Linked DNA regions of Arabidopsis thaliana. The protein of the gene in region 3 interacts with the protein of the main gene of each other region in a pairwise test. Each region holds a gene or a part of one and is shown on either strand. Other genes may lie near its edges.

What was found.
Region 1: the proteins of AT5G16900 (region 3) and AT2G07678 interact in a protein complementation assay, tested with the Arabidopsis thaliana proteins (one large-scale study listed by BioGRID).
Region 2: the proteins of AT5G16900 (region 3) and AT2G24250 interact in a protein complementation assay, tested with the Arabidopsis thaliana proteins (one large-scale study listed by BioGRID).
Region 4: the proteins of AT5G16900 (region 3) and AT1G25510 interact in a protein complementation assay, tested with the Arabidopsis thaliana proteins (one large-scale study listed by BioGRID).

Annotation. Positions count from the first base shown.
Region 1 is NC_003071.7:3,278,519-3,285,510, forward strand, and holds AT2G07678 (uncharacterized protein), read left to right. Parts: upstream 1-2,578; coding exon 2,579-3,316; 3' UTR 3,317-4,611; downstream 4,612-6,992. Other genes in the region: AT2G07669 (uncharacterized protein), read left to right, coding at 4,706-5,035; AT2G07625 (uncharacterized protein), read right to left, coding at 5,580-5,647, 5,811-5,937, 6,090-6,098.
Region 2 is NC_003071.7:10,311,381-10,318,602, reverse strand, and holds AT2G24250 (LOW protein: F-box/kelch-repeat protein (DUF295)), read left to right. Parts: upstream 1-3,622; 5' UTR 3,623-3,744; intron 3,745-4,011; 5' UTR 4,012-4,042; coding exon 4,043-5,167; 3' UTR 5,168-5,537; downstream 5,538-7,222. Other genes in the region: AT2G24255 (LOW protein: F-box/kelch-repeat protein), read left to right, coding at 1,540-2,550; AT2G24240 (BTB/POZ domain with WD40/YVTN repeat-like protein), read right to left, coding at 6,440-7,222.
Region 3 is NC_003076.8:5,553,505-5,563,273, forward strand, and holds AT5G16900 (Leucine-rich repeat protein kinase family protein), read left to right. Parts: upstream 1-1,552; 5' UTR 1,553-1,572; intron 1,573-1,676; 5' UTR 1,677-1,749; coding exon 1,750-1,816; intron 1,817-1,930; coding exon 1,931-2,468; intron 2,469-2,598; exon of another isoform or gene 2,599-2,712; coding exon of another isoform or gene 2,713-2,759; coding exon 2,760-3,265; intron 3,266-3,615; coding exon 3,616-3,760; intron 3,761-3,844; coding exon 3,845-3,916; intron 3,917-4,243; coding exon 4,244-4,315; intron 4,316-4,402; coding exon 4,403-4,474; intron 4,475-4,545; coding exon 4,546-4,709; intron 4,710-4,808; coding exon 4,809-5,023; intron 5,024-5,129; coding exon 5,130-5,256; coding exon of another isoform or gene 5,257-5,289; exon of another isoform or gene 5,290-5,348; coding exon 5,349-5,414; intron 5,415-5,567; coding exon 5,568-5,757; intron 5,758-5,844; coding exon 5,845-6,211; 3' UTR 6,212-6,436; downstream 6,437-9,769. Other genes in the region: AT5G16890 (Exostosin family protein), read left to right, coding at 1-93, 182-320, 449-559, 700-768, 1,097-1,237; CSLD2 (cellulose-synthase like D2), read left to right, coding at 8,175-9,064, 9,157-9,769.
Region 4 is NC_003070.9:8,956,682-8,963,981, forward strand, and holds AT1G25510 (Eukaryotic aspartyl protease family protein), read right to left. Parts: upstream 4,503-7,300; 5' UTR 4,143-4,502; coding exon 2,691-4,142; 3' UTR 2,406-2,690; downstream 1-2,405. Other genes in the region: AT1G25500 (Plasma-membrane choline transporter family protein), read right to left, coding at 1-86, 184-641, 1,047-1,112; AT1G25520 (Uncharacterized protein family (UPF0016)), read left to right, coding at 5,643-5,660, 5,751-5,819, 6,137-6,196, 6,283-6,330, 6,416-6,507, 6,587-6,623, 6,706-6,753, 6,837-6,905 and 3 more.

The DNA.
Region 1 (6,992 bases), on a different chromosome or scaffold from region 3:
CAGAGGCCCCTTCAACCGGCTTCAAAACTCGCTATTCTGCTGACGATTTTAGCCTTTATATATCACCCCGAATGGAGTACTCAAGTTGAACCGGGCGGACCTTTGGAAGGGTCTGTTCGAGAACTTCACAACTTCACTCTAGGGCCAACCTCGAAGGGTTTCCTCTCTTTATGAAATAGAACAGCAGCCAACCACCGAGGTTCCTCACTAGATATATAGGACTGGTACCTTCGGTCTCTTGCGACACTCCGAGCAATGTTGCCGCTCTGTTCGCTTCTTTTTCAATGACGGTAACAGACCAACCTTCAATGGCAGATAATTATCAATTTGACTTAGGAGGTTCCGATGCAAAGGCCACACCTGTGGTTGATTGCCTCCGCCACCTCTCTACAGTCAGTTTAAAATTCCACTCTCACCTGTTGGTGCTTAAACTTTCAGCAGCCCAAAAAACACTCAAAAGCTCCGCTTCGAAAGCAGTTGTTGTTGGCATAAAGGCTCTTCGTCAAGTCGAACCACACCGAGGAGGCACTTGTTAACCACCGGATGGAGCAAGTTCGTGAACAATAAGAAGCTAATCGCTGGTGATTCTGTTGTATTTATGAGGAAATCGGCTGATGAGATGTTTATTGGTGTAAGGCGAGCACCAATCTCTAGTAACGTCGGAGGAACAAGCTTCTACGGCGGAGATGAGTACTGTAGTTATTATCAGAGCAATGGAGGCGTTGCTAAGGAAGACGACGGAAGTGCGAAGAAGGGGTTTAGGAGGACTGGGAAAGGGAAATTGACGGCTGAAGCTGTCTCTGAGGCGATTAATAGAGCAGCTCAGGGTTTGCCGTTTGAGGTGGTTTATTATCCTACGGCTGGATGGTCGGACTTTGTGGTGAAGGCAGAAGATGTTGAGGCTTCCATGGCTATATTCTGGACTCCTGGTACTAGAGTGAAGATGGCCATGGAGACTGAGGACTCTTCGCGGATTACTTGGTTTCAGGGGATTGTCTTCTATACATATCAGGAAACTGGTCCATGGCGTGGATCTCCTTGGAAACAGCTTCAGGTATAAGATCCCCTTCACTATTCCCTTAATATTCCTCTGATGTTGAGCTGATGGGAAAATATATAAATCTGGTTATTCGAATGCTAATTTGGGTTTGGAATGTGAGGTTCCAGTTGTGTCAAGTTTGGATTGCTGTGTTGGGGGGATTCGTGGTTTGAAATCGAAATATGTTGATTGGAAGCAGTATTAGTTAGTTCATTTTCAAATGAATGCCATATCCCTTAGTTTTGTTGTTTGAGATTCATCTTCAACAAAGATACATTGGAAAAAGAAGTCGGAAGATCTTGGTCTTAGTATTGTTTGTGTTGCACTCAGATACAGTAAATCGCTACAATCTCTCTTCTCTCTTCTCCTATCCCTCCGCTTGCTTCCGTTTTCAATCTCTCCTTTCTCTCAGACATTACGGTCTCTTTCTCTCTCTCTCTTTCTGAGCGGTGATCATGCTCTGTACATTCTAGTATATGTTGATGATCTTAGAATCACATGGTCCAATCCTCTTCATATTGATGACATAGTATGCATCAAAAATGCCATCTTTTCTATAAAGTATCTGGCTCAATCTTGGTCAAAAAGTGAGTAGAACTTCTGCTTCTATCTTTCTCAAAACATTACTGATCTATTGGTCAAGGCTGGCATGGAAATAACCTCTCCCTTCTCCCATAGTCACTTCTGGGTCCTCTTTGTCTGCTCTGCTGTTGTAAGTTCCACTTTGCTGCTAATCCTCATCTCTATCGTAGCTAGAGCATTCTTGGTGGTTGCTAGCATAACCAGACCTGACATAGCTTACTCAGTGAACTTTCACAATTTCTGATGAGACCTTAGATAGAAAAGAAGGTTTAGATTAAAGTTTCTATTCCTTCCTATTAAACGCTTTCAAAAGATTGTTGAGATATCTTCTCTGAATTGTCTGCACTTGACACCTTCCTCTCAACTTGCTCTTGTTTTAGTGATGCTGATTGGCCTTCGTGGGAATTTATAGATCACTCTCAGGATATTGGCTTTTTCTTGGGAGATCCTACGGGAAAAGAAGGAAAGAAGTCAAAATAAGAGAGTAAGAGCCTAGGTTAGAAGTCAGTTTCAGTTCTCTTAGGTCTCTTTCCACATATACAAACTGAGAGTTCAGTCTCATATAGCATGAGGGGACATGGCTTGGTAATCGATTCAAATTGGACATAGATAATCTTTCAATTTCTCATATTATATATGATAATATAGGCGTGGAAAATTTATTGGGGTTATAAAAAAAAAAAGAATCCTCGTCTTTACAGTCTTATCAATTGTGATAAGAAAGCGCTCTTAGTTCAGTTCGGTAGAACGTGGGTCTCCAAAACCCAATGTCGTAGGTTCAAATCCTACAGAGCGTGATTCCGTTGCTCTTGTTAGGTCGAAAATTAGACTGAACTCAAATAATTGAACAGTAATCTGAATTTGATCTCTCGCCAGAATTGATTTAACCAATAGACATATATATTATCTTTCTTACTTCTGACCAGTGGTGCTCTATACATATTGGTGAATTTAGATATGAAAATGAAATCTCCTTTATTTAGAGGACCACTGGTCAACAGTTCCACAGAAAATCCAATTCATATCCTAACGCGAGAGAAATTGAGACATCAGACCAGTGGTACAAACTCAACAGAGAAAGTAATACTACCTAATATACTTCATAGTTATATCAAAAACCTAAACTTAGATTTCACATCACCATATGGATCAACTGGTAATAATGAAGTATTAAGCATACTTCGTAGTAGGTTTAAACAAAGCATTTTCCCATCATCTGGATTAAAGTGTTTGGATACTACTGGTGATTTTCTCATCAAAAATGTTTTACATAAAAGATATGAAAGTGTTCAGAAGAATATCTCAAATGCATTATCATCCTCCATAAATTCTCGCACTGCAGTCTTCTTTTGTATACTGTTCAGTATAACAGTGTTAATGGAAATAGCTCCTGGACCTCTTTTGAAGAAACCTTCATTATTATTTTCAGATAATTTACCAAATGTATTGCAATATACACGAGATGTGTATGTGAATCATGTTTGTATAATACACAAAAGTTTAAGTCCATGTGAGTGCGAGGAGCCTCTCAATCGAATTATTAGAGATATGTTTCCGCAAACCACTTTTGACCCACTTGAACTACAGAAACCTTCACCCAGTAAAGTGAAAACTATAACCTACATGCTTGGTACTATTCTTCTTGTAATTACATTAATGGATAAGACTGGATACACTCAATTAGTTAAAATGTAGATAGAATGAAATACACATTAACCTCCTTCTCCATTTACTGTTCTTTGATTCTAACCTCCTTCTCCATTTCCCGTTCTGTCCTAGTTCTTTGTTTCTAACATTCTTAGCTTACCGAGATAAGCAATTCCCTACCTAGAAAAAGATGATCAAAGGCATTGAGGATCAAGCTATCCTTCTTTTGCTGTTGAATTGAATTGAATTATGTTTTGGTAAGGACATCAGTATTGATCCTCGTCTGATATAGAGACTTTCAGGTTTTCTAGATCAGCTATTATCCTTTGAAACTCATTAACGTCCTCAAACTAAGGAAAGAAGTGCTCAGTGAGCTTTAAATGATTGAATTGGACTTTCGGTCAGAAGTGAGCCTAAGCTTTGTTGTGAGCTGTCTCGTTTCCCTGTACTCGCATTCGCTTACATCAAACCAATCAAGCTAGGATTCTTGTGGGATTGACTCCTGGTAAGGAACCGTCTTTACATCTCTAACTTGTTGGCTCGTTAGGAAGGGAAGTTAAAGCTTGCCTGTAAGGGGAAGGCAAGCTCTCTAAGCAAGCTGTTTTCATGCCTATACTAGCTTTCTTTGTTTGACAGGTTGGGGGAATACCCAATTCAAAGAGATCAAGCTTACACTGCACAGATTTGACCTTATTAAGAAAGTTTCCGGGAAGGGGTAGAAGATGCTAGATGTTTCCCTAGGGTCTTGACTAGTTCCTACTTCCTTGCTTCCAGTGTAGAAGGTGTAGCTGGCATACTGGAGTCAATATCTTAGTTCAGTTGTTGCCTCCGGTTGTCATACTGGAATGAGTCAATATCTTAGTATCGTCTGTAATGTGGAAGAAGTAGCTAGATGTCTTCCCTGTGGTTCTCTGCTAGTGGATACTTCTCTCTAGCGGTGTATCGGGTGTTGGCACTTCGGTTGTTGCCAGTCCTGTCATTTCCTAGAATATGTGTTAGTATAGGCTGGAATATGTAAGTATTGTCTAGAAGTTCCCTGTTGGTCCCTTACTAGTCTGCTCTTCTTTGTTCCAGTGAGTTCTGTCATGAAGTGTAGCTCATGTTAGGATTACCCGGGAAGCGAGCTTGTCGACGACGACGGGTAAGCCGTGTGAGCGGTTAAGGGTTGCTTGTTGCTCAGCTGTCTTTAGTCAATATCTTATGAATGTTCCGGTCCAGGGAATAATGTGAATGTAGCTAGAGTGTTCCTAAGGTGCGTGCATACTAGGGCTTCTTCCTCTAGTTACCGTTGTAGCTGAACCAGCACTTGCAGCTGTATATTCTGGGCGAGGAGCGTAAGCGACATGGCATATTTGTGAAAGAATCTCCCTTCTCTTCGTTCGGACTAGCCATGAATAACCAGTTGGTTGCTTCCAGTGGAGGAACCCCTGTTCATGCATGGCGGGGCCCGGGATCCCTTGCTGCTGCGGTAAAAGAGTCTTCCTTCTTCTGGGCGGAATGTGTATGAGTAGGCGTGAAGTAGGCGAAGCAGTCCTCCCGTTGATACGTGGGATAGGAGAAGGGGTCTACCACTTTATATCACTAAGTTCCCCCTCTCCGTCTTGCAGGTATTGTTTCTGGGTTGTGTCTGCTTCCCGCTGTGCAGCTTCCACTTCCTTTCTTTGTTCTCTGGGAATAAGTAGCATGAAGAGTTCATCTGTTGTCCGTAGGTCCCTGGCTGAGTTATCATGTGTAGCTAAGTACGATCTGCGTTCTGCTGTCAGTTAATAATCTCCTCCTCTCTTTGTTCGGATGGGAACTATTGTATCTGTTGTTAACCCTTGTATCTGGCTACGCCGCCCTTAGAAGCAGAGTAGCCAGTCCAGTAGGTGTAGTTAGTTATCTGTTCAAGTAGGTAGGAGGAACCCAGCTTCTCCTATCTCATAGGAGGAACCCGTAGAATCAATATCTTTTCTTTCTTTCCACAGAAGGTCAGCGGTCATACTCTTCGTACTGTTGTTAGCTGTTCCTGTTCCAGACGAAGTAAGGTAGCCGGCTCAGTCTCTTACTCGGAGAGGAACGCCTACTACTCGACTAATAGGAGAGGAACGCCTTTGACTTCTTTCTCTTTCGAAAAAAAGGAATGTAGTTAGCCTAATCACTGGGATGATGATTGGATCAGTTTAGCTACTCTGTTAAGGTCTACATCAGGAGGTTCAACTAAGCCCGCAGGTATATTTGGCAGGCACCTGAAGCGAGTTGACTCTAGCTAGGAAGTTCTTCTCTGGCCTGTCACCTGAGTTAGAGGCTAGGCTCCGAAGCCTTCAGTTCTTTAGTCTCCCTGAGAGTTGTTAGAGAAGGCAGCATTGGTCGAGAGAGTGTGAGCGAAGCGTAGTAGCGCTGCTATACCGAGAAAAGTAATCAAACCTAAATCTAGGAAATACAGCTGGGTGTGCTCATGTTGGCTAGGTAGCAGGGCCAGACAATCCCTTTACTTTCACTTTCGTGTGTGCGTACTATTAAGAGTTACGTGTGTGCGTACTATTAAGAGTTAGGAGTATACCAGCACAGAGAGAGGAGTGTGCTTCAGGTAGAGCACAGAGGAGGATAACAGTTAGGAGAGTTAGGAAGGAGTAACCCAGCACTGTGCTAGAGAAAGCAGAGGAGTACCGAGAAAAAGCAGCAGTGTGCTGTACAGAGAACAGAGGAAAAAAAAGTTCGCAGCAAAAGATAAAACAGAGACGGAACCTTCCCCCCTTCATGCTGTACAAAAGCGGCCAGCACAAGGTCAAGGCGAAGACGGAGCAGCACTACCTGGAGATGATCCTGGCGAAGAACGAACCATTACCATTCTAAGGAGGGGGAAGCACTACTATATATCTCTTTCTTAAGAAGCTATTTCTAAGTTCCACTTTCCATTAACCGAAGTCTAATGATCGCCTGGCATTAGCGCCATCCTACCGTCTCGTTTATGAGCTTGCATCTTGTACTTCTCCTGCCTCTGAAGGACCGGACCAATGATAGACCATGGGAAACAGGAAATTGACCAATGATAGTTACTCGGAAACTGGGAATAGGTTCGGGGTCTAGCTATTTACCATAGTAAGCTATCCTTAAGGGCTTCGATCGGTCCATATCAAGAAAGTCATTCCGCTTACGGCTAGCGAGCACTTTCTTTTGGTGAATATCCGGCGAATGAAATAACCATTGTAAAAGCTAGAGATGAATGCCCAGCACTCTCGGACTGATCATCTTGCTGCAAGAAAGCTTCAGGTCATTGCTGGTTCGTATGATCCAGCTTCCAGTACAAAGGCAATGTACTAAGAAAGCCAAACTTGGACAGGGGCCCTTACGTATCTAAGACATAGTTCGTGGCATACGATCGAAGAAAGCTGGGCGGAAAGCTCGGACACCAACCTCAAAAGGCGGTGTTGACCCTGTTACAGTACAGGGAAGATCCGTTTAGCCAAAACGAGAAGATCTTCCATAGTCTAGTTAGGGGGTGGATTTTTTTCATTCCTCAATGGGTGCTGCTTTTGACTGCTATCTCGTATCGATCTAGTATTGCGGCTTACGCTAGATTGACACCTTTCCTTGAATACGAATAAACGTGAGAGCCAACCCCATAGGTATGACCCAGGAGGGCCAAAAGTGGCATTTCTTGCTTCTTAAAAAGCTGATTGTGAAGAGGGTCTGCCCTTTGAATCTCCTCGAGCCGGGTCTAGTCAGTCTTTTTCCCTCGCCC
Region 2 (7,222 bases), on a different chromosome or scaffold from region 3:
GCCTGACTGGTTTAAACACAGCGGATGCGGTTGCGATTGCGGGAGTTTGCGGAAACGGACGGTTGCGGTTTTAAGCGTTATCAAGAGTTTTGAACGACTGGTTGAGCGTTTGATAATGGGTGCGTTTGCGGGGTTTGACTGGTAAACCAGCGGATGCGATAGTAATTAAATAAAAAATAACCAAAATAAATATAATATATTACTATTAAAAGAAATAAAAATACAATATATTATGATAAATTTATAATATTAGAAAATTTGATTTTCTGACCAAATAAAAATACAATATATCATCTCGTCCGACCAAATGATTTCTAATCGAGAAAACAAATCGAAACATGTATTCAATCAAAAAACTCAAAAGAATACAAAATAAAATAAAAACAACGATGCTATGAAATAGTTAAAGAATTACACTAGGTAATGAATGAATAAAAGGATAGATGATACTTATGTTTGATTCTTGATTTTGATTTTCATCGGATGCCATAATTGAGACAATACGATTACAATATATTGATTAAGGTTTTCTAATAAAAATCAGATATATAAAAGATTAGATTATTTTAATTATAGTAATTAGAGTTTGGATGGAAGCCACAATTATTTAATTTAATTAAAAAATGATATTTTTTTTTAACCTAACCGCTACCGCTCGCAACCGCAAACGATTGCGGAAAAGAGTTTTTGAAAAACGGGCGATTTCGAGCGGTCCAAAACGATATCTAACGATTTCTATGATTGGTGTCAATCGCTAACAAGCGTTTGCGGGTGGTAAAGGGAGAACCAATCAAGCCCTAAGTCTAATACATTATTTTTAACTTTGAGTGTTTTCGAGCAGCCTCTCTATTTTCAATTTTCCATTTTTTGAATATCCAGGCGCTACATGTATCGGAAATGCTCCCATTCGATCAAAGCCAATCGCTTTAACCTTGCAATCTATTGCACAAACTTCACAAACTCATACCTTTTCAATCAATCGTTTTGTTTTAGAATTGAACGAACAAGAACACAACACTTTGCGTGTTCCAAATGATCAAAGATACATCTCGCAAAGCTTTGCCTATCAATCCACTATCAAACGTGATCTTTATATTCAAAATCAAAACCCGAATTGTTTAATCAGCTTCACTTGATTTTAACCGGCCAATTCCTTCGGTTAATTTCCCAATTCAATCTCGAACCGAATCCCACCTCTTTCTCAATTCATGTCCCACCTCAAATCTTCTCGTCTACGACACTAGTCTAGGGCAAACTTCACAATCGACACTAACAGTAAATTGCTACAGCGGAAGCGATTCTTCCTTTGTATACTCAATTTCTTTAAAGCTTAATCAAAATCACTCTCTCTTCCTTCAAATTCTCCAGAGACCTTGGGCTCCAAGTTACGGTACGATCATATCTCTTTATGCCAAATGAATCTTCGGGTTTTTTCCCCAATATTTTGTTGCGATTTTACTGTACAATCAATTCAAATGTAAATTAGAATTTTTTTAGCAAATTCGTAGATTGCAGCGTTTTCTGTCTCCATTAGCAAACATGGCAGAACCCAAAACGAAGAAGACATCAACATCATCGATAACCCCAGACTGGTCTGAGCTCCCTGAGGAGCTACTGTATCTTGAAGTATCTAGGGGACAACTGTTTCGATGTTGTTCATGCTCGCTCTGTTTGCAGCTTGTGGCGATCCACATTTCCTTTGTCTCCCTTGTTACGCCCAAGTTACTCTCTTCCCTCGTTCAACGAATTCCCTTCAGAAAGCAAAAACATGTGCACCCTCGAGAAGGTCCATCTCCTGATATTGCTGATGATCAGCTTTCCGATGCTCTTCAATGTTTAGTGAACGTGAAGATCCCAGCATCTATTCCAAAAAAGATCATCCCTTTGGGCCATAAGTACAGAATGATCGGTTGGGAATATAATCGCGCGACTTTTCTTCGGCTAGACAAGGAGGGAAGAAGAGGAGAATTTGTTGTGCTTCTCGAAGTCTCTGACACTTTGCTGGTGTTAACAAGTGCTGAAATGAGGTGGAAGCAGCTTGAGAACGTCCCATATACTATATGCGTTGATATAGTCACTTTTAGAGGCAGATTTTATGCACTTTTTCTTTCAGGACAAATCGTCGTTATCGATCCTTATTCGCTGGAGGTGACTCTTCTGTTGTCCTCACCTCAGGACCCGCGAGAATTACGGTCTCTGGTTCCATATGGCAAAGATGAACTTTTCCTGGTTGAGGTAATCATCCCAAATGATGTTGTAATAGACTTTAGTCGGTTAGCTCGTAGAGTGAGGAGGGTAGATGAGAAGGCTGGTAAATGGGTTGAGGTCGGTGATTTGGGAGACTGTGTATTGTTACTTGGAAATCTCTCTTGCTCGGCTAAGGAATTTCCTCGGGGTTTTGGTTTGACTGAGAACGCAGTTTTGTTCGGCGATCAGTCAGGCAATGCATTTTTATACTATAAACAAAGTGCGGTAAAAGATCTCAAGGGAGAATCGTGTGATGATACTCAACCATTTTTTCCGGTTATGGCTCTCCATGAAGACTGCTAGGCAGTAAAATCCTGCTTTAGAGAAATAAAAACATAAATTCCTATCATATTTTTAGGTATGGATTTTGTGATATCTCATGTTACCCATTGTTGGATCACTGGTATTTAATGTTGAAGTTAAATCTCAGTTCTGAGTTCTTATAACTTTTTTTCGTCATCATGATCTTTTTGAACAATTTGACACTGTCCAAAACTGAAACGTTTAGCCACGATATAGAAACTCTTTTCTTGGTCACTGATCTTTTATTGTGTGCTGCCTTGTGCAGTTTAAAAATCTTGCTACTTGAATGGAACTGGCGCTTGATGACGACGATATGGACTAAATGTAGGAAAACTACATTGCTTTTGACCGTGTAGCTCCCGAAGACTTCCTCAATAAAGCAATGGCTGATTACTCTAGCTCGTTGATATTTCCCTGGAGTCTTTGATTTTTCTCGACGTTTAAGTTAGCTTTTCCATCTTTTTAACATATTATACCGATGTCATTTTGAATGAGAATATAGCTTTTAAGTGGAATAGAGAGGGTAGACATTTGTTTTTTCAAAGTGATGAAAAGAAGTGAACTAGATTCTTTAAAGATCAGAGCATATCCACTGTGGTAGCTCACATACTAATACTGTTACGCCAGAACTTTCCCAGAGAGTGTCAATGAGAAAAGAAAATTCCTTCCAAAAGCTAAAGCTAAGTTCTTGAAATCATCTTTAAAGGAAAATGAAACTTACTTCTATAGTTAGCCTAGGGAGTTTCATTGATGGGGTTACCAAGCTCTGTGTTATTTCATTAATGTTGCGTACTAGCGTTTATTAACCGTTCCAAAAACAAGAACTCACATCACTTTACGAGTTCCTAAGATTCAAACCGATCGAAGATACCTCTTGGCAAATCAGTATCAAAAATATTCTTGGGTACAGAGGAGAGAAACAAGAGTACAAAACAATCAACAGAACGAAGAAAAGAAACATAACAACAACATAATGCAAAAACGACGTCATCTCAAGTCTATCCGAAAACCAAAGTCTTAACCGGCTCATTTGATATAAACCGTCTCAATCCCTTCGGTTCTTTGCTTTCCCAATCAATCCAACCCCAAACCAAATTCGCTCTAAATCTTAACTAGTCTCTATCCCCATTTGTCGACGCTACGAAAGGGCTCTGAAGAATCTGCAGGAAGCTCCAACTTTTTCTCCAAGTTACGGTACTACTACGACCTATCTCTTTAATCCCTGCGAATATTCTATAATGAACTGTGAATTTTCTGTTACCAACTTTTAGTTTTTCCTGTGGCAAATTGATCAAACCCAGAATTGATTATGACCTTTGGAGCTTCAGTGAAATCAATTTTTTCCTGTTGGGTTTTATTTTCCAAGAATGAACTGAGAATTTTCTAAAAATGGAAGAGTTGGATCGTTTCAGCAATTTCATCAAACCCCTAAAAAAAAGTTGTAAATTTTCGAAATTGCAGCAGTAAATTTCTGTGTTCTTCAGCAGCAAGCATGGCAATGAAAAAGAAGATATCAACATCATCGATAATGCCAGACTGGTCTCAGCTCCCTGAAGAGCTACTTCACATTATCTCAACGCATCTAGAGGATCACTATTTCGATGCTGTTCATGCCCGCTCTGTTTGCCGCTCATGGCGATCCACATTTCCATTTCCTTCTTCTCTATTACGCCAAAGTTACTCTCTTCCCGCTTTCCCTTTAGAAAGCAAAGACTTGTGCTGCACCCTGGAGAAGGTCCCTTTGTTCCTCTTTAGAGTTCTAACTCCTCCTGATGCTGCTGATGCTTCCTCCGAATATTTTCTGGGAGGATTAGGCCAAGATAAGTCAAATGATCATGTGGAGCTTCCATCTCCTCTTCAGTGCTCAGTGAAAGTCAATGTTCCAGGAACTGAGCCAATTTTGATGAACATGCTTGACTGCCAGATCATCCCTCTGGGCCATAAGTACAGATTGATGATCGGTTGCAATCCTGAAGAATACAGTGCAGCTTTTCTTCCGCTAAACGAACAAGGAGGAGGAGGCGAATTCGTTGCGCTCCTCGACTGCACTGATTTGTTTTTGGTGTTAAGAAGTACTGAAATGAGATGGATTCGGCTTGAGAAACCCTCAACTGCTTCATGTAAGGAGTTATTCACTTTTAGAGGAAGGTTCTATGCAACTTTCTTTAATGGGGACACGTTCGTTATCGATCCTTCTTCGCTGGAAGCGACTCCCCTAACACCTCATATCGACTCCAACTTTCTGGTTCCATCTGGCAATGAGGAGCTTTTCCTGGTTAAGACAGACTTCCTAAGATGTAGAGTAAGTAGGCTAGATGAGGAGGCTGCTGAATGGGTTGAGGTCAGCGATTTGGGAGACCGTGTTTTGTTTCTTGGTGGACACCTGGGGAATTTCTACTGCTCCGCTAAGGAGCTTCCTCATGGTTGTGGTTTGACTGGGGACTCGATTTTGTTCACCGTTGGGTCACGCAATGTAACTTACCCCTATAAATATGGAGTACATACAAATAAAAGAAAGGCTGAAGACAATATCAATTGTTGGAGATCCTCAAGGGAGAATCGTGTGTTGTTCCGCAACAGATATGATCCGGTCCTGTCTTTCCGGGTTGAACGCTAGGCCGCAAATTCTCACTTCAGACTGTTATTCTGTTTTTATTAGATCAAAGGCTATGTTTTCCTTTGATTTTAAGTCTAGATTTTGTGTACTTGAAAACTCGAACTATACATGATCTCTAGCAAATGTGCAATGGTCTATTGTAGTTAGTCTAGAAAGATTTGTTGGTAACCAGCTATGTTCTTATCAAACTTGTTGCAGGCATAGCAGCAATGTCGTCCCCTTATGCCATACCCTCATACAACTACTATTCTTGCTTTTATTCTGTTAAGAGCTTTTTGATCGTTGTATATTGCTACTACATTTTGGTTTGAAGTAGTGGTGCATGTGTTGCATAGTCCGTAGGTAAAACTGGTCCGAAAGCGGTAAACAGGATCACTTCGTTGTTAGTTTGTATCCTTGGGATAGTGAAGATCTTGACAGTTGGTACGTTTGAGTTTTGTATCAAATTTAAGCCTTTTCTGTGATTCAGGGAAGCTTTCAAGAAAGAAGGTGATAATCAGGAAAACTACATTGCTTTTGACTACTCGAGCTGATTGTACTTGCCTTGAGGGAGTCTTTGATTTTCTCAACGGTTAGGTAAGCTTTTCCATCTTTTTTTTTAACATATCAGATTTCCAATATTCTTGAATGAGAATATAGCTTTTAAGAATGGAAATGGAACAGAGAGGGTAGAGACTGATTTTGCAAAGTGATGGTAAGAAGTGAACTAGATTCTTTAAAGGTCAGAGCTTATCCAATGTGGTAGCTCACATTGTTATGCCACAAACTTTCCCGGAAAGTGTAAATGAGAAAAGAAAATTCCTTCCAAAAACTAAAAGCTAAAATCTTGAATCTTTAAGGAAAAGCGAAATGAAGATATAAACTTTAACTGCCCCCAAAAGACAGTAGCAGTTGCAACCACTCACATGTACTAAGGTAACGAATCCTCAAAAAACCTTAAAGAAGCTGAGGTTGAGATTTTGGACCACCATGGAAACAGCTTAGTAAGTCTAACGAGAATAAAATAAAACACAGCTAATACTAAGAACTCTGTATCGAGTGAAGACCTGGCTATCGTTGATCGGTGTAAGAGACATAAAATCGTATAAAATCGATATCATTTCTTAGTAAGAAGCAACACTTTCTTTGTATAGAACAAAACTAAGATCATCAGTCTATTGCTATAGTTGTCTTTGTCTATTGCTATTCTTTTCTCTGTAGTTTTCTAAGGACTCTATTAAAACAAGCAAACTAAACGTGAACAAAAGCAAACCAGAGTATTAAGGTAGTGAATTATATGATCGGACAAGGCGGAGTCTCCCAGACATCAAACACATTCTCCTCGCTATGCAATGCAAAAAGGCGGTCGCCACCAATGGAGAAATCACAGATTGAGCCACCATAGCTTCTTCTTAGCCTAGAAGTTAAGACCCAGTCTGGTCCACAGAACACAGAGATAGAATCATTCATTGATGAGAAAAGCTGGCCTTCATGCAAAGCTAGTTTCGGGTAACAAGGCTCATCAGGCATCTTACTCTTCATCAGTTTACTTCTCGAACTCCACCTCACGCTTCCTCCATACATCCTCAGATCAATAAACCCCAAATCCTCAAACTCATTCACCACACAAATCGAATTGCTATCTTCCATAGCTATTGCATCTCTCACTCTCTTCTCGTCTATCGCCATAGGAGACCCAATATCCGACCATGACCAAACCATGTTCTTGTCCCGAAAATCCAACAAACTAATGTAACAGTTGTCCTTTCTTGGAAACAATGTAGCCACAAGAAGACAGTTCTTACCATTCAGCCATTGAAGCTTGTCAGCATCACCAAGTGACCAACCAGGACTCTCGTAGAAGAAATCGGTTTGCTTTCCAGTTATCTGATCCCAAACTCCGATTCCATACTCATTACTCCGACCTTTGCAGCTCGCAAAAATCTCATAATCCGGCGAAAAACTCAAAGCTCCAGCTGTATAACTCTTCACCTGATTCTCATGACAGACCTGAAACTTATACCGAAGATCACCGGAAGATGAACTGAACAGTCCCATTCCTCCATCTCCTCTTCC
Region 3 (9,769 bases):
TGGTGCAGAATTAAGTGGTATCAAGGATATAATAATTTCTGAGGGGACTGCCGGAGAGGGAGGAAAATTGGCAGCGCAACGTGGCATGCGTAGGTATATTGGGTGGCTCCTTGACCCATTTGGTTGCAGCACATTTAGTTTTTCTTTCAACTTTCTCTAACTATTTCTGCCTTTCTATCAGATCTTTATTCTGTTTGTGTCCTGCTGGTGACACACCATCTTCAGCGAGGTTGTTTGATGCCATTGTCAGTGGCTGTATACCTGTTATAGTCAGTGACGAGTTGGAATTTCCTTTTGAAGGAATACTTGATTACAAGAAGGTATGCTAGAAAACGTATTACATTGGTGCTCTGAATTATAACCATTTTTTGTCTGAATTAGTTTAGATATGAAGCAAAGTTTGTATGACTGTTCGCTCTCTTTTCTTTTGCTTTTGTTTACCTTTCAGGTTGCTGTGCTTGTTTCTTCCAGTGATGCAATACAGCCAGGGTGGCTTGTAAACCATCTGAGAAGTCTTACGCCCTTCCAAGTCAAGGGGTTGCAGAATAATCTTGCTCAAGTAAGTACTTAGTTTTCCTTATCACTAACTTTGATGTTACAAAATGCATAGTTCGCCTTACACGAAAGGGCATAGCAACCTTACTTGGGCAGTGGATCTTTATATATATTAAGTAATATGGTTGTTTTAAACTTTTCCAGTACTCTCGCCATTTCCTATATTCGAGCCCTGCTCAGCCATTAGGTCCAGAGGACTTGACATGGAGAATGGTATGTACCTACAAAACTTACATACCTTTCTATAACTAAGATGGAAAAGAAATCAAAAGCTTAATAATATCTGACAGAATGTACATGTGGTAACTTAATTTTGATATTGTGAAAAAAAACAGAGTATAAAAACTTCACCTTTTGTGTTGTACAATGGCAAGGTCTCTTCCTTAATTATCCTGATTGTTCAGCACCATGTGTGTTCGGCTTATCCATTAATCGTCTAATTAAGTATTTGCCTTGATCTTTGATCAGTCAGTGAGAAGAACTTACTGCAATGTCGAAATCTAAGATTCAGAAAATCTTGATGTGTTTGTTGCGTTGACAGATAGCCGGAAAGCTGGTGAATATCAAGCTTCACACGAGGAGGTCACAGCGGGTCGTGAAAGGATCTAGGAGTATTTGCAGATGCGATTGCTGGAGATCCAACTCTACAGCCTCCAATTCTTTGAGTTCTCTCTTGTCTTAAGACCGATCACTCTGACTTCACATTCCAGTCTTGAATACCCTAGATATATACTGTGGAATGTGTATCCTATTCAATTTTAACATTGTTTGCTATTTTATATAATGTAATTCCTGTTCATCTTCGCAACTTGGCTACTTTTAGCTACGTGGAAATATTATGAAACTAACATTTTATACAATTGTGTATGTCCTCTTCACGTCATTTAAAGGTCTCTCATTGTCTGCTTGTTATTTTATTCCCTTGCGACGTTTTAAGTATTAGCAGATGATATAGACATGGGTGAATTTTTCACCACCAGCCTGTAGAAATTATCTACAAACATTAAAGTTTTTCAAGTTGAGTTAGAAAATATTTTGAGCTACTTTTATTTATGTATTTTGATTCAGATATCTTTGGTGGCACTTTTAATTGTTGACCTCACAAAACTGTTTTTTATTAGTCTCCATCAGAGGAGTTGATCATAGGCACTTCTTCATATACCAGAACACTGGCGGTTCTTTGAGGTAGCAGAAATGGAGGATCGTCATCGTTATCTTTTTTTCATATTTGCCATTATACATTATGTTCAGGCTCAACAAGGTAACCACATTTTATTGCATTGTTGCACACGTCTTTTGTCTGTTTACTGATTAACCTAAAGCAATATTTCGTGGATGAAAGTCAATCATTCATAACTATATTTCCTCTCACCAGGATTCATCAGTTTGGATTGCGGGTTGCCGAGTAACGAGCCTCCATATATTGAACCGGTAACCGGATTAGTATTCTCATCGGATGCGGATCACATCCCTAGTGGAATAAGCGGTAGAATCCAGAAGAATCTGGAAGCAGTACACATAAAGCCGTATTTGTTTCTGAGATACTTTCCAGATGGGCTACGAAATTGCTATACTCTAGATGTCCTTCAGAACCGAAGATACATGATCAAAGCTGTGTTTGTGTATGGAAATTACGATGGTTATAATGATTATCCGAGTTTTGATCTGTATCTAGGTCCTAATAAGTGGGTAAGAGTTGACTTGGAAGGAAAGGTCAATGGCAGTGTTGAAGAGATTATTCACATACCAAGTTCAAACTCTCTGCAGATTTGTCTTGTCAAGACAGGTAATTCTTTGCCGTTCATATCCGCCCTGGAACTGAGGCTTTTGAGAAACGATACTTATGTTGTCCAAGACGTTTCCTTGAAGCATTTATTTCGGAGGTACTATAGACAGTCAGATCGGTTAATCCGGTAAGTGTTGCACTATATCATAATCTGTAATTTGATGTTGATATACAAAATTTCCCTAAACTTAGCAATATATAGATGCATGAAGACAATACAAGAAACCTTCAAATGTCTGACCAACATCAGGAAGTTTCCTATTAATGCTCTTACCAATGAACTTTGACTTATATAATAGACGTATTGAAATTGTTTTTAATGATCGTAATGTCTTTCATAGACCAGTTGTTTGTGAACTGGTGAATTAGTGATGCATGGTTTATCAATCCATGTAGATGTGTTTTCTGATGTCCGCAGGTATCCTGACGATGTCTATGATCGTGTTTGGTCCCCATTCTTCTTACCGGAATGGACGCAGATAACTACCAGTTTAGATGTGAATAACTCTAACAACTACGAGCCACCAAAAGCAGCATTAACATCAGCTGCCACACCTGGAGACAATGGAACGCGATTGACCATTATTTGGACTTTGGATAACCCTGATGAGCAAATTCACCTGTATGTTCACTTTGCCGAGCTTGAACCTGTTGGGGAAAACACTGACGAGGCCTTGAGAACTTTATTTACAAGGACCTTTTACTTTGTGGTGAATGGAAAGATTAGTTATGATGAGAGTATTACTCCTTTAGACTTGGCTGTAAGTACTGTAGAGACTGTGGTGAACAAATGCGATGGCGGTAACTGCAGTTTGCAGCTGGTACGCAGCGAAGCGTCTCCGGGAGTACGTGTACCTCTGGTTAATGCTATGGAGGCATTCACTGCAATCAAGTTTCCACATTCTGAAACAAATCCTGATGATGGTACGTACGTATATATCTCAACTACTTTTACTAAAATTTTGGGATATATGCCTCAAACTATTATATGGAATGCTATTCCATTAGCTCGACCAGTTTTCTGTAGTATCATATTAATTTTCTACAGATGGTAAAGCAAGTTAATGTGAACCAAATTATTGCACTTTATCTAACAGTAGTCCACATACGAGACATGAGTGATGATGATGAGGTTATGTAAATTAGTTCATGCGAGAATTAATCAAGAGGAATCATCATAGTATCAACCACAAGAAATAATTTGTTTTGAACATATTACCTAATTCTTGTTTTTAATATGTTTTAAGTATGGTATATCTTTAACTCTATGACAGTTATATCTATCAAGGTTATCCAAGCTACCTATGAACTGAGCAGAGTCGACTGGCAAGGAGATCCGTGTCTTCCCCAGCAGTTTTTGTGGACTGGCCTAAACTGCAGCTACATGAACATGTCTACGTCACCAAGAATCATTTCCTTGTAAGCACTTAAAAGTGTGATATTGTTGTTATAAATTAGTTACGTTTCTAGATTTCTTACTGCTAAAATGTGTTATGTGACCAGAGACCTGTCCTCACATAAATTAACTGGGAAAATAGTGCCAGATATACAAAATCTGACCCAGCTACAGAAACTGTAAGTATGGCCTCTAATAACTGCGCTGTTTGAGCATCAATAGGTTTTTCAAGTTTAGTATGGTTTTTGTACTTCTATTGACTATATATACCAAGAATTTTGGATGTTTATTTTTAATTTCTAGTATCATTTCCTGCACATGTGGCTGCACATCTGCATTACCAATATAAAATCAGTCGCTGTTTTTTCAACAAACTATTTCTATGTAACCTTGTTTCTGCATCCTCACACATGAATGACTATGATTAGGCAGATTTCAATTTCTTCATTGGATATAGAGTAGTGTGATTTGTTTTTCTTTTCCGTATTTAATAAACATAACTGTAGGGACTTGTCGAATAACAAGTTGACCGGAGGTGTGCCTGAGTTTCTAGCCAACATGAAGTCACTGTTGTTCATGTAAGTCCTCAAACAAGTGAACTTATCTCTTTCTGTTTTCTCTAAATTCTTTGCATTTTCATGAGATAATAGCTTTTTCCATGACAGAAACCTAAGCAATAACAATCTTGTTGGTTCCATTCCTCAAGCGCTTCTTGACCGAAAAAATCTGAAGTTGGAGTAAGATCTTCAAACGTAACATTCTTTCAACTATTACTTGTGCCCTTAGATGATTTCTATTTATTCTGTAGGTTTGAAGGAAATCCAAAGCTTTGCGCCACAGGTCCGTGTAACAGTTCAAGTGGAAATAAAGAAACCACAGTCATAGCACCTGTTGCTGCTGCAATAGCCATTTTTATAGCTGTTTTGGTTCTCATTATTGTTTTCATAAAGAAAAGGCCATCAAGTATAAGAGGTAATGTTAATAAAGAAAATATGTTACATTATAAGAAAACAGGAATAAAAGCTACTAGAAGTTATTTAGCTATATATTTTACTTGATGTTTTTATGCAGCTCTACATCCGTCACGGGCTAATTTATCTCTGGAAAATAAAAAACGAAGGATCACATATTCAGAGATATTGTTGATGACAAATAACTTTGAAAGAGTTATTGGTGAAGGAGGGTTTGGGGTCGTCTATCATGGTTATTTGAATGATAGTGAGCAAGTGGCTGTTAAAGTGCTCTCTCCGTCCTCATCTCAAGGCTATAAAGAATTCAAAGCAGAGGTGATTTTACTACAAACTTTGAACATGGAATTGACTACAAAGGTATTATGGCTTCTCCTTGAGATTCAAATAATCATTGATGAATGGATTTCCTTATGGTTGATAGGTTGAACTTCTCCTTAGAGTTCACCACATAAATTTGGTAAGCCTTGTTGGATATTGTGATGAACAAGCACACTTAGCCCTCATCTACGAGTACATGGCTAATGGAGACTTAAAATCGCATCTTTCAGGTAGACATGAATAATATGGTTTGGTGGTTTTGACAGGTAATTATACAGTAACATCTTATCTTCATTAGACATGTATCTCCTGGTTATTACAGGAAAACATGGGGACTGTGTTTTAAAATGGGAAAACAGATTAAGCATAGCTGTTGAAACCGCACTAGGTTAGTGTTATTTCGTCCATTCCATAACTAATCTGTTTTCAATACTAAAAAGCCTCTCAAGAAGTTGATTTTGTCCAATTTTATCCCCCTTGTAAATTCCCCTCCTACAAACTTATGATGATACGTTAAACATAAATGAAACTTTCAATATAGGATTGGAGTACTTGCATAGTGGATGCAAACCACTAATGGTTCACAGAGATGTCAAAAGCATGAATATACTGTTGGATGAGCACTTCCAAGCTAAACTAGCGGATTTCGGACTGTCTAGATCTTTTTCTGTTGGAGAGGAAAGCCATGTGTCGACTGGTGTTGTAGGCACTCCTGGATACTTAGATCCTGAGTAAGCATCAATATAGAACAGGGTGCATTCCAAATATAATTTCCGAGTGGTTAAAGAAACATGATTTGTTATGTATTGTCTGTGTAGGTATTACAGAACATATCGCTTGACCGAAAAGAGTGATGTCTATAGTTTTGGGATCGTGTTATTGGAGATAATCACAAATCAACCCGTACTTGAGCAAGCTAACGAAAATCGACACATCGCAGAACGTGTAAGGACTATGCTTACAAGAAGTGATATTAGCACCATTGTTGATCCTAACCTCATTGGCGAGTATGATTCTGGTTCTGTGCGGAAAGCTCTTAAACTAGCGATGTCGTGTGTGGATCCATCTCCGGTTGCAAGACCAGACATGTCACATGTTGTTCAGGAGCTTAAACAGTGTATCAAATCTGAAAACCTGAGACTGAGGACAGGATTGAACCAAGTCATAGACTCGAAAAGTTCCTAGGACGACCAAGACTAGAGTTTTGGTTCGGGAATGACTCCAAATGCACGGTGGTGATCTCTGATCTGTGACCAAATGTATTTCTCGTTTTGTGTCTTGCAAACAAAACATAATAAATCAAATTAAGTCAATTGATGTTTTCAAATCCGATCCGCTTGACGTGATCCGCTGATAATATTGGTCTGCGATGGGGTGTGTTGTTGGTTCGTTTTGTGTAATAGCGTGGATTAATATTCACTCATCACATAAATTTTCAAAAATAACAACAAATTAAATACTATATGTCAGATATTTAATATTAATGTTGACAGGGACATTATTACGTGTATAATGAGAATTATTCGTGGTTAGTAGTAGTTACTCCCATAGATATGAAATATTGACATTTTTGATCAATGCTACGTACACACGTAACACGTTATCTCATTATTCCAAAAAGAAACATTTTGTATTCACAGGTGAGAAATACTCCTGCGACCGCGTATTCCCATTCCTTATTTTGAAATTCCCCAAAGTACCCTCATCGTCTCTTTCAGTGTGCTTACACGTTTTTTGATACCCGAGATTAACGCCTCCCTACGACATTCTTTTTTATTTTCCCATATTTTATTCTGCAAAATACCAAAAACAAAATTGCTTTATACTAACATGATATATTAATGACATTAATCTAAACAACGATATATTAATGACATTAATCACAACCATTTCCCCTTTATTATAAGAGGATTTCGTAATCTTACATTTCTTAATGCCATTATATTTTTAACTTGCGACTTCCCGAGAAAATTCAAATTCACTTGAGTTATTTTCAAAACTTGGATTCTACAGTATCTGTTTGCTATAAACACTTGTAAATCACTGAACTGAGATCAAATAAATTAGAGATTTCTTTAATCTTCTATGGTAAGTAAATTTTCGGTATCCCTATTCAAGAAAGAGAAAAAAAATGGAAACAATATTTAACGCGTTAAAAGATAAATAAGACCACAAGAGTTAAAAAGAGTTGTTCTTACTTTCTTCTCTACCTTGTCCGAAAAACCTCAGTCCCCCCCCCAAATCAATTAAAACGTTTCAAGAAAAAAAAAAAAAAGTGTACTACGTCAACTTGTTTTTTCCGGCGGCGTTCCACCTTCGTCTTCGCTGTCTCACCGCGTCATAAAATTTTCTACCTTAGTAAAAATTTCGAAATAGATCGTAGAGATCTTCCTTCTTGATTTGTCGTCTCGATTCTACAAAATTTGGCAATTTCTTTGTTTTATATATATTTTAAGATCTTTGAATATATATTTTGGGGATAAATCGGCTAACGTGTATTAGTTAGCAGGAGTGCTCAAGTATTTGCTCACGACTAAGTCCTTTTCTCCTCTTCTTCTTCCTTTCACTATCTCTTCTTATCAAATGCCTCATAATAATATCCAGTTGGGTGGCACGACACGACCGCGTTGAATACTTCAGACGGATTTGTTAACAACAAAGTCTCTACTTCTTCTTCTGTTAATTACTATATAACTCAAAGATCTGAGTTTCTTCTCTCTTCTTAGCGTTCCTTTCCTCTGAAGGTATTGTAAGCAATCTCGAGTTTCAAATCTTGTTTTATTGTTTTCTTATAAGTTCGTGGTGGGATCGTCTCTTTTTGTCTGAAAATGTCTAAAGCCTGTGCTTAAAGAAAGATGTGTGGGCTTTTCGAGATATTCTCGGATTTGAAAGTTTGAAACTTTGAATTAGTGTATTCGTCTTGATAACTTTAAAGGTGGTGCCTTTTTGTTGTAGTAAGCAATGATTGTTACCTTTTCTTTTCATTTGTGTGAATGTTGATGATGAGTTTGTTGTTAGATCGATATATATATATTGATCTGTTTCTTTGTTGATGTTTTTGAATGAATTTAAGATGTCTTTGTTTCTTCTTTTGCTAATTTTGTCTTTGACTTCTTTCTGCAGGGATCTGCCAAGTTAGATCCTAACTATGGCATCTAATAAGCATTTTGATAAAAGTCGATCAAATCTATCAAACAACTCTGATATTCAGGAGCCTGGAAGGCCACCTGCTGGTCACTCTGTCAAATTTGCTCAAAGAACTTCCTCGGGTCGCTATATCAATTACTCGAGGGACGATCTTGATAGCGAGTTGGGCGGTCAAGATTTCATGAGCTATACAGTTCACATTCCTCCCACTCCAGATAACCAGCCAATGGACCCTTCCATTTCTCAGAAAGTTGAGGAGCAATATGTCGCTAACTCCATGTTCACTGGCGGTTTCAAGAGCAACACCAGGGCTCACCTTATGCACAAAGTTATTGAGACAGAGCCTAACCATCCACAAATGGCTGGCTCTAAAGGATCGTCTTGCGCGATCCCTGGCTGTGATGCTAAGGTTATGAGCGATGAGAGAGGTCAAGACCTTCTTCCTTGTGAATGTGACTTTAAAATTTGTAGGGATTGCTTCATAGATGCTGTCAAAACCGGAGGTGGGATTTGCCCCGGGTGTAAAGAACCGTACAAGAACACGCATTTGACCGATCAGGTTGATGAAAACGGTCAGCAAAGGCCTATGCTGCCTGGGGGTGGCGGGTCAAAGATGGAGAGAAGATTGTCGATGGTGAAGTCAACTAATAAATCAGCTTTGATGAGGAGTCAGACTGGAGATTTTGATCACAACAGGTGGTTATTTGAGACGACTGGAACTTATGGTTATGGGAATGCTTTTTGGACAAAGGACGGGGATTTCGGGAGCGGTAAGGATGGAGATGGAGATGGTGACGGTATGGGTATGGAGGCCCAAGATTTGATGAGCAGACCGTGGAGACCGCTTACTCGGAAGCTGAAAATTCCTGCTGGTGTTATTAGTCCATACAGGTATAAAAATAGACAAGTCTATTGTTTGTTGTTATTGTTTAACTTTACGAAACCTAAACATGTTAAAAGAGTTCTTTTTTCTTTCTATGCAGGCTTTTGATATTTATCCGTATAGTTGTTCTTGCATTGTTCTTGACTTGGAGGGTTAAACATCAAAACCCAGACGCTGTATGGTTATGGGGAATGTCTGTGGTTTGTGAGCTATGGTTTGCCTTGTCTTGGCTTCTTGATCAGCTCCCTAAGCTATGCCCGATTAATCGTGCCACCGATCTTCAAGTCTTGAAGGAAAAGTTTGAAACACCGACAGCCAGCAACCCGACCGGCAAATCCGACCTTCCTGGATTCGATGTCTTTGTCTCTACTGCGGATCCGGAGAAAGAACCTCCTCTGGTCACTGCTAATACCATTTTATCTATTCTTGCTGCGGAATATCCTGTTGAGAAGCTTTCTTGCTATGTATCTGATGATGGAGGGGCGCTTCTTACGTTTGAAGCAATGGCTGAAGCTGCTAGCTTTGCCAACATTTGGGTTCCTTTTTGTCGTAAACATGCGATCGAGCCGAGGAATCCTGATTCCTACTTTAGCTTAAAGAGAGATCCTTACAAGAACAAAGTGAAGTCTGATTTCGTGAAGGATCGTAGACGGGTTAAGCGTGAGTTTGATGAGTTTAAAGTCAGGGTTAACAGCTTGCCTGATTCTATCAGG
Region 4 (7,300 bases), on a different chromosome or scaffold from region 3:
TGAAAGCATGTGCCACCATTATCACCTTAGGAAGTCCCCAGACTAATTTCAGCGCTTTCCGTAGGACCAGCATTGTGAAAGGAAGTCTACACATGAACAACTCAAATCATCAGAACTAAAAAGTTGTTGCCATTTGACCATAGGGGTTCAGTCATAGTTCAACCAGTTCAACCTCGGACGCACCTGTCTATAACTGAAATAACATACAAGAACTGCAACAGAGATCCAACAGCGAATGCACCGCCCCAAAAGAACAGTCTGCACCAGAAACATAGTACACTAACTACAGCTAGATAGGTTGTTAAGATGTGAACCGAAACTTTCATCATCTCATTGGCGTAAGAGCCAAGCAGCAATGACCAAACCCAACTGATAAAGACTCCAATGCCACCAGCAACAGCATAGAGAGGCCAGTAATCCTCTGTTAGACCTTTATGATTCTCCAAGAACCCTTGAGTGTACCTATCGATGTTTAACCTATCTGATATTCTAAACCTATTGAGTCCAAGCACCGCGAGCACAAATCCCAAACAAATCAAGTGGATCACAAAGATGGCTGACCAGAATACATCATGCCAATGGCGGGACTCACGCACAACGGCTCGGTTTCCATCTCCACTCCTTCGACTCCGCTGAAGACTCTGCAAATCAAAATGAAAACATTGATTCATTCAAATTACATCATGGACGAGTCTGAGACCTACAAAAAGCTATGCTTTAACATAAGCAACGACTCTGAAACTTCATATCAGTACAATGCAAATACATAAAGTGATCAAACTCACACAAGACACATTTTCTATCAAAAAGAAAAAACTTTGCGACTGACCCGTGATTAAAGTTACAAAGCCAAAGTAACCAATCGCTCTTAACATGTAAGGAACAAATCCAGATATGAGTTCATCAAGATCACACTCGTAAAGGAAATGACTTTATGTTCTAAAAAGCAAAACCCAGAAAGGGATTCTCATAACAACTTCGCTTGTACAGAAATTATAAGAGAAAGAGATTCGTGCCCAGATCGAAATTGAGTAAGGGTGGAGAACCTGGTCGCCGGAGGAGATGGAGGCGTAATCAGAGGAAGGAGAGACGCTGTTAGTGGAGTCACTCATGATGGAGTAAGAAGAGAAGATTCACTCACTGACCAAAACCAAATTTCATGGAAGCATCTTTGAATAAATATCACAAGAGTTGAGAGAGAGAGAAGTGAGGGAGAATAGTCAATGAGAGGAAAAGAAAAGAAACGTGAATCAAAGAAGAAATATGAAAAACGATGAGAGAAGAGAGTGAGGCAAAGAAGTTTTGTCAGAGCGGTTCTTCTTCTTCTTCGTCTTCTTCCTTTTTATTGGATAAGCAGTGGTCGTTTTCAGATCACACTTTCTCCCTCCGTAACTATTCACGTTTTTTTCTTTTTAATTTTCCTATCACAAAATTATTTCTTTTCTTTTTTGGTTCGTTGCTTTATTTCTGTTTGTTATTTGGAAATGGACCTTTAATGCATATAACAGAAAAATTGCATATAGTTTTCTCAAACTTTATGTCAAAGTTTTTATAAATTCACCTACAAGGGAAGTGTGGTAAATGTTTGATATAAATTGTATTATATAATTATGTATTCTTCTTCTTTTTTTTGCTTGGACGTTGTTTAATGTACGTATGAATTGTATACCTCATTATTCAGATATTTAAAAGAACCGGTCAAAATCATCTATTGAATCTACGACTCTTTGTTTTTTCTGTCAACAAATATACCACTATTTTAATTGTGAAAATATTAACAAAAACATTGAATTTTATCCAGGTTTTTTGCTCTTATGGCATAAGTTTTATGTCTAGCATGAAACTGTAAAAGTAAGAGAATGTTTTTGGATGAACAAAGGAGAAAGTAAAAGGTTGACATATAAAAAGGAGAAAGGAAAATAAAGCTTTTTTTTAAGGACAAAATGATTGAACCCATAGCTGCCACTTCATATGTTGTGATGGCAAGTAGTGGCACCATGACTTCGCCACCTCTCTTTGTGCCATGTTTTTTTCTTTCTCTTTTGATAATATAAATCTCTGTGCCATGTTACTCTTTTAAAAAATACTGTTTACATAGAATGATTAGAGTTCATTAAACATATCCAATAGAATATCACCAGAGTTAATTTAGTTTTGTGTAAATTCATCTTCCATAAACATATCACTTTTTTCTTTGTTTCATATCAGTTAGTACTAGGGATTACACTTTCATGATCATAACTCATATAAGAGATTGTATTTTCAATCATTCGTTTCTTGGTTTACAAAGATTTTGTTATTTTGTATCACATCACATATTGTATTTGGGCTTAACTTCTTCGATCACACATTGTATTTGGGCTTTAACTCTCAACACTACGAGTATTCATGCGTCATAGAAAAGAAGGAGTCATTCATTCGTGTGTGATGTGACCTGTAACAAGGCCCCTCAAGATTCATTGTTCTACTCTTTAATCATAAAATTAGCAAAAACAAATTCCATCTTTTTTTTACTCTTTTTCACTCTATGCATTGCAACAACAAGTACAAGAAACAAACACAACCAAACAGTAGTACAGTACTCTAACTTAACATTACTATCTTTTAAGTGACTTTTCCTTTTCATTGTAACTCAAATATATTTATAGAAAAAACAGCTTAGCATTTTTGTTTTTTTTGATGAAAACAGCTTAGCATTTATTAGACGAGAATCCAATGAGAGAATTTGCCAAATCGAAAGTGACACGTGTCCCTTGTTGCTGCACGTTTCCGATAATCGCTAGTGAACTCGCCGTCGGTGCAAATGCCAAACAAAATGTCCCCACCGAGTCAACCGGAATCATGTAGTTCTTCGCCGGCAAAGCCAACATCTTCCCGCCGGGGAAATGAAAAGCCACGGTCGGGACTTCTACCGTCGTCTTAGCCGAAAGGTTATAACACGTGTCAAACATCGCCACCCCGGCTGCTTTTTCCAAGTCCAACGTTCCTTTCACGAACGAGTCTCTAAGCGAGTTATAGATTTCGGTCTGGAGACGAGTCACGGCGGTTCCTGAGTCGATGATGATCCCACCGCTGCCTGACTCGTCCATCTCGAAAGAAGACTGAGGAATCTGAAGCAACTCGCCGCCGACGCTTATTCCGGTGAGGCCTAGGTAGTAAAACGTGTCGAGCTGGTGGTTACGTAGCAACGGAGCCACGACGGCGTCAGGAGAAAGAGAAGTCCCGAAATCCACGGTCGAAGCCGAGTCTGAGTCACGGTCAACGAGACAGTACGAGAACGACGTCGTGTTGAGCTGCGACGGAAGAGCTAACAAACCACCGCCGAGTCCAAGTAAACCGGCGGCGCCGACGAACAACCCTTCGTTGCTGTGTCCACAACCAACGGCGACGTTTTGAACTAGAGTTGAGCCGATTGTGAGAGTCTCGGTGGCGAAATCTCCAACGGTGTAAGAACCATCACCGTAAGAAACCTCGTAAAGACACGTGGCGTTTCTACATTCTGAGACTTCAAGGGCATTGCACTGTGGAGTGTCACAAGAGAGAGGCTCGTAAGAAGAAGACGACGATGGCTCGAAGATTGGTTCGGTTTGGTGGTAACAGTCAGCGCAAGGAGTACATTGTAGCCAGTTCACGTCACTTCCAGTATCTAGAACCATATAAACTTCACGCGCCGGTTTTCCGATACCGACGCGTGTGAAGTACTCGCCACTTCCTTGAGTCGTGCCGGAGATTAAAGGAGCTTCGATATCTTGTTCCTCAGTGGTGTACATTGTGCTGATGGGTTTGAGATCTGCTTTGGATATGTTGTTGATGGCTAGATCTAAACGGGTTATGAGAGATTTGACTCGGGCTGTGTCACGGTTGAGTCTGGCTAGTGTGAGTGACTTATAGTCTGAGTGTTCAGTTCCTCGGACGGAAACTCGTGAATGAAGCTGCAAGCTGAAAGAAGAAGAAGCAGAGTGAGTCTGTTCTTCTTGCTGGTTTAACCGAAACGACGACGTATACTTGGTTCTGTGGATGGAGTCAGCGACATTGAGAATTGAGGTAGTGGTTGTGGAGGTCTCTGGTAAGATTCTGGAGAAAACAGAAGAGTGTGAAGTGAGGAAGAAGATGAAGAAGAAGAAGGAGTAGTTAGGAGACATTTTTTAGATTCCGACCGTTAACAGTGAAGAAGATGAAGTGAATGAGGTTTATTAAAGAGAAGACAAAAGTGTGTTTGGTGGGGAAGGGAAAATGAGACAAAAGCTTCTTTTAATTAAAACAAAGACAAGCTGTGTTTTGGGGGTTTGCAGATTTCGAGGAGATTTATATAAGTAAGTATCTCTTCTTGAAGAATTAATCCAAAGATTAGATAAATGGTTAAAGAGGAAGAGGAGGTTTCTTCATCCTCTTTAAGTGTGAGGATTTAAATAAACTTGTTTTATGATCTCAATGCGGTTAGTGTGGAGATTGTTGTTTTAGATTTTATTAAGTCAGCCACTTTTGAGTGTTTCACATCTTCGCACTTTGACAAATTTTATTTGGCTATGAGCTTAGCTTTGTTAATGATGACTTTCATTCAAATTATAACAGCTCACTTATTTCATTTTATCCAGACCTATGTCTATAAAGCTATATGATACTAAACAATTAACCTAAAAAGAAAGCTATAACTGTAAACCAATACATACATACGCAATCTGACAACAACAAAAAAACATACATATGCATATCATGTTAAGGTATTAACAATGTGGAGGAATTTGCTGACTTAAAAATGGTGAATTTATGGTCCCTCATGGGCCTGTGGGTAACTCTTATCTAGGCTTTTAACTTGGATGTTTGGGCCATTTCATACCCCAAGTCTACTACATTAACTCATTAACCTTGCTGCCTAAATCTAAACTATAAATTCTAAAATACACTTCTAATCTCAGCTTAACATGATATGCAGTTGAGATAGATAGAATATTGCCACCTGATTTTAGTTATTCATCAATTTTAGAATTAAATAAATTAATATTAATATAAGTACAGTTGGATCAAATCAAATATAATTACATACGTTTGCGAATCAATTCGCCACCAATCAGAAATCGGTCAATTTTTTTTTATTTGTATAAAATAGTAGGATAAAACGAAATAAAATTTAGTTGAGATAAGCGAAAAATACTAAAATACCCAATCAGTTTTGAGCATCTCTCAAAAACTTACGTGTTATACTATTCTAAACGTTACGTCTCAATCGTGATCGCGACAAGTTAGTTATCAAAGAAGTAAAAGTCTTTATTGTTTTGCTCGAGCAAGTGACGCAAGTCGCAAACAACAACACAAGGGAACAAATTAACATCTTCTAAACTCAAGTTGGGTTTTCTGGGTCCCACACATTAAAATCGTTGGTTGTTATCAATCCACGTGGTAAGATCTTAAGGGTTAAAGAATCAGAATCAAATTCACCTACAATCCCCAAAAAAAAAGGATTCATCTTTTAGCTCTTCAGCGAATGTTCGTCTCGTCTATTTGCTCTCTCTCGACGACTGTTAATTAACTCCGGCGATTGATCACTCCGTCTTCTTTGTAACACAGCCGGAGAAAAATCGAAAGTTTCGTTTTTTTCTTCTCCTTCGTAGCTAATTCGCCGTCGATTTTATAATTCGGCAGCCATGAGCTCGGTTTTGCAGGTAGAGTAAAAGATTAATGTTTTCTGGGGAGTAAACTCGTAAGAATCGTTGTGGAGCTAATCTGGGTTTATGATTGTTGGGGTTTTATAGGGTTTTACGAAGTCACTTGCTATGACCTTTGTATCGGAGATTGGTGACAAGACGTTTTTCGCTGCAGCAGTAAGTGTTTCGTCTCCTCTTCGCTTTAGTTTTAGATTTTGTTGCTTCATGTAATCTATTGAGGGTTTAAGGTCGATGAAGTCAATGGCTTTTACATGAATCGAAGTCTAAAGTCTTACTTATTGGATTGCCTTTTCCTGATTAAGAATCTAGATGGCATCTTTGGATCCTTTGTCTGTAGCTTTTATATTGCCATTCAGTTTCATAGTGTTTTGGTAGTTTAGAATCTGCCACAGGCTCTTTGAAGGTGTGTAAGATACTTCTGTTGTTATCTTGATTTTGCAAGCTTAAACTCTTTTTTTTTTTTGTCATATCAGATTTTGGCTATGCGTTATCCTAGGAGACTTGTGTTGGCTGGTTGTTTATCGGCTCTGATTGTAAGTTTTTCTGAATGCTTTGACCTATTGGTTTCAGTGACCTCTCTCCATAGATTTTGAAGCTTATGTCTTTGTTTAATTCTTAGGTTATGACTATCCTCTCTGCTACTCTTGGATGGGCTGCTCCTAATCTGGTATGGCTTCAACTTATTTTGTATTTCTACATAAGCCTTTTTTTCTTACTAAATAGTAAATACTGATTCAAACCCTCACCTTCAGATCTCTCGCAAATGGACTCATCACATAACAACATTGTTGTTCTTTGGTTTTGGGCTATGGTCTTTGTGGGACGGTTTCAAAGAAGGAGGAGGGTAATACTTCTTCATCATATTTTGTTGTCATAAGGATGATTTAATCCAAGATATTCAGATTATCTGACTTTGTTGGCAGGGGTTCGGAAGAATTGGCTGAAGTCGAAGCAGAACTGGTTTGTTTCTTCTTTCTGCATGTTCGCTCTCACGTTTAGATAAATGCTTTTGTGGCTTGACGTTCTTGTGTTTTAATTATAGGATGCTGATTTGAAGGCTAATGGTAAATCTCCAAAAGACAGTAGTAAGGTATTGAACCAAAACGACAAGATCAGAGACTGCAAGTGGAAATTGCCTGTGCTAAGTTTTCAAATCATTTGTTGTCCTTGTAGAGAGAAGATGAAAACAAAAAGCAGAATAGGGCGTTCCTCACGCAATTTTTCTCTCCAATTTTTCTCAAGGTAACTAAAACAGAATTTGCTCACAAAAGCAGTAGACTTTTCTGAACTAACTTCATATTTCCCCTCTCTACTTGCAGGCTTTTTCGATTAATTTCTTTGGAGAATGGGGTGACAAGAGTCAGGTAACTTTTACTTACTCGAATTGATTCAATCTTAAATGCTTCACATACTCACCATAACTCTCTTGTCTAGCTTGCTACAATTGGTTTAGCTGCAGATGAAAATCCATTTGGGGTGGTCCTTGGTGGAGTTGTGTAAGTTTCACTGCAAAACTGCTACAATCATTTTGTGTCTGCATCACAAAAGTAATATGTTTGAAGCGACGTTACTGACTAAATAGTATGCCTATACAGGGCACAGTTTTTGTGCACCACTGCTGCTGTAATTGGAGGAAA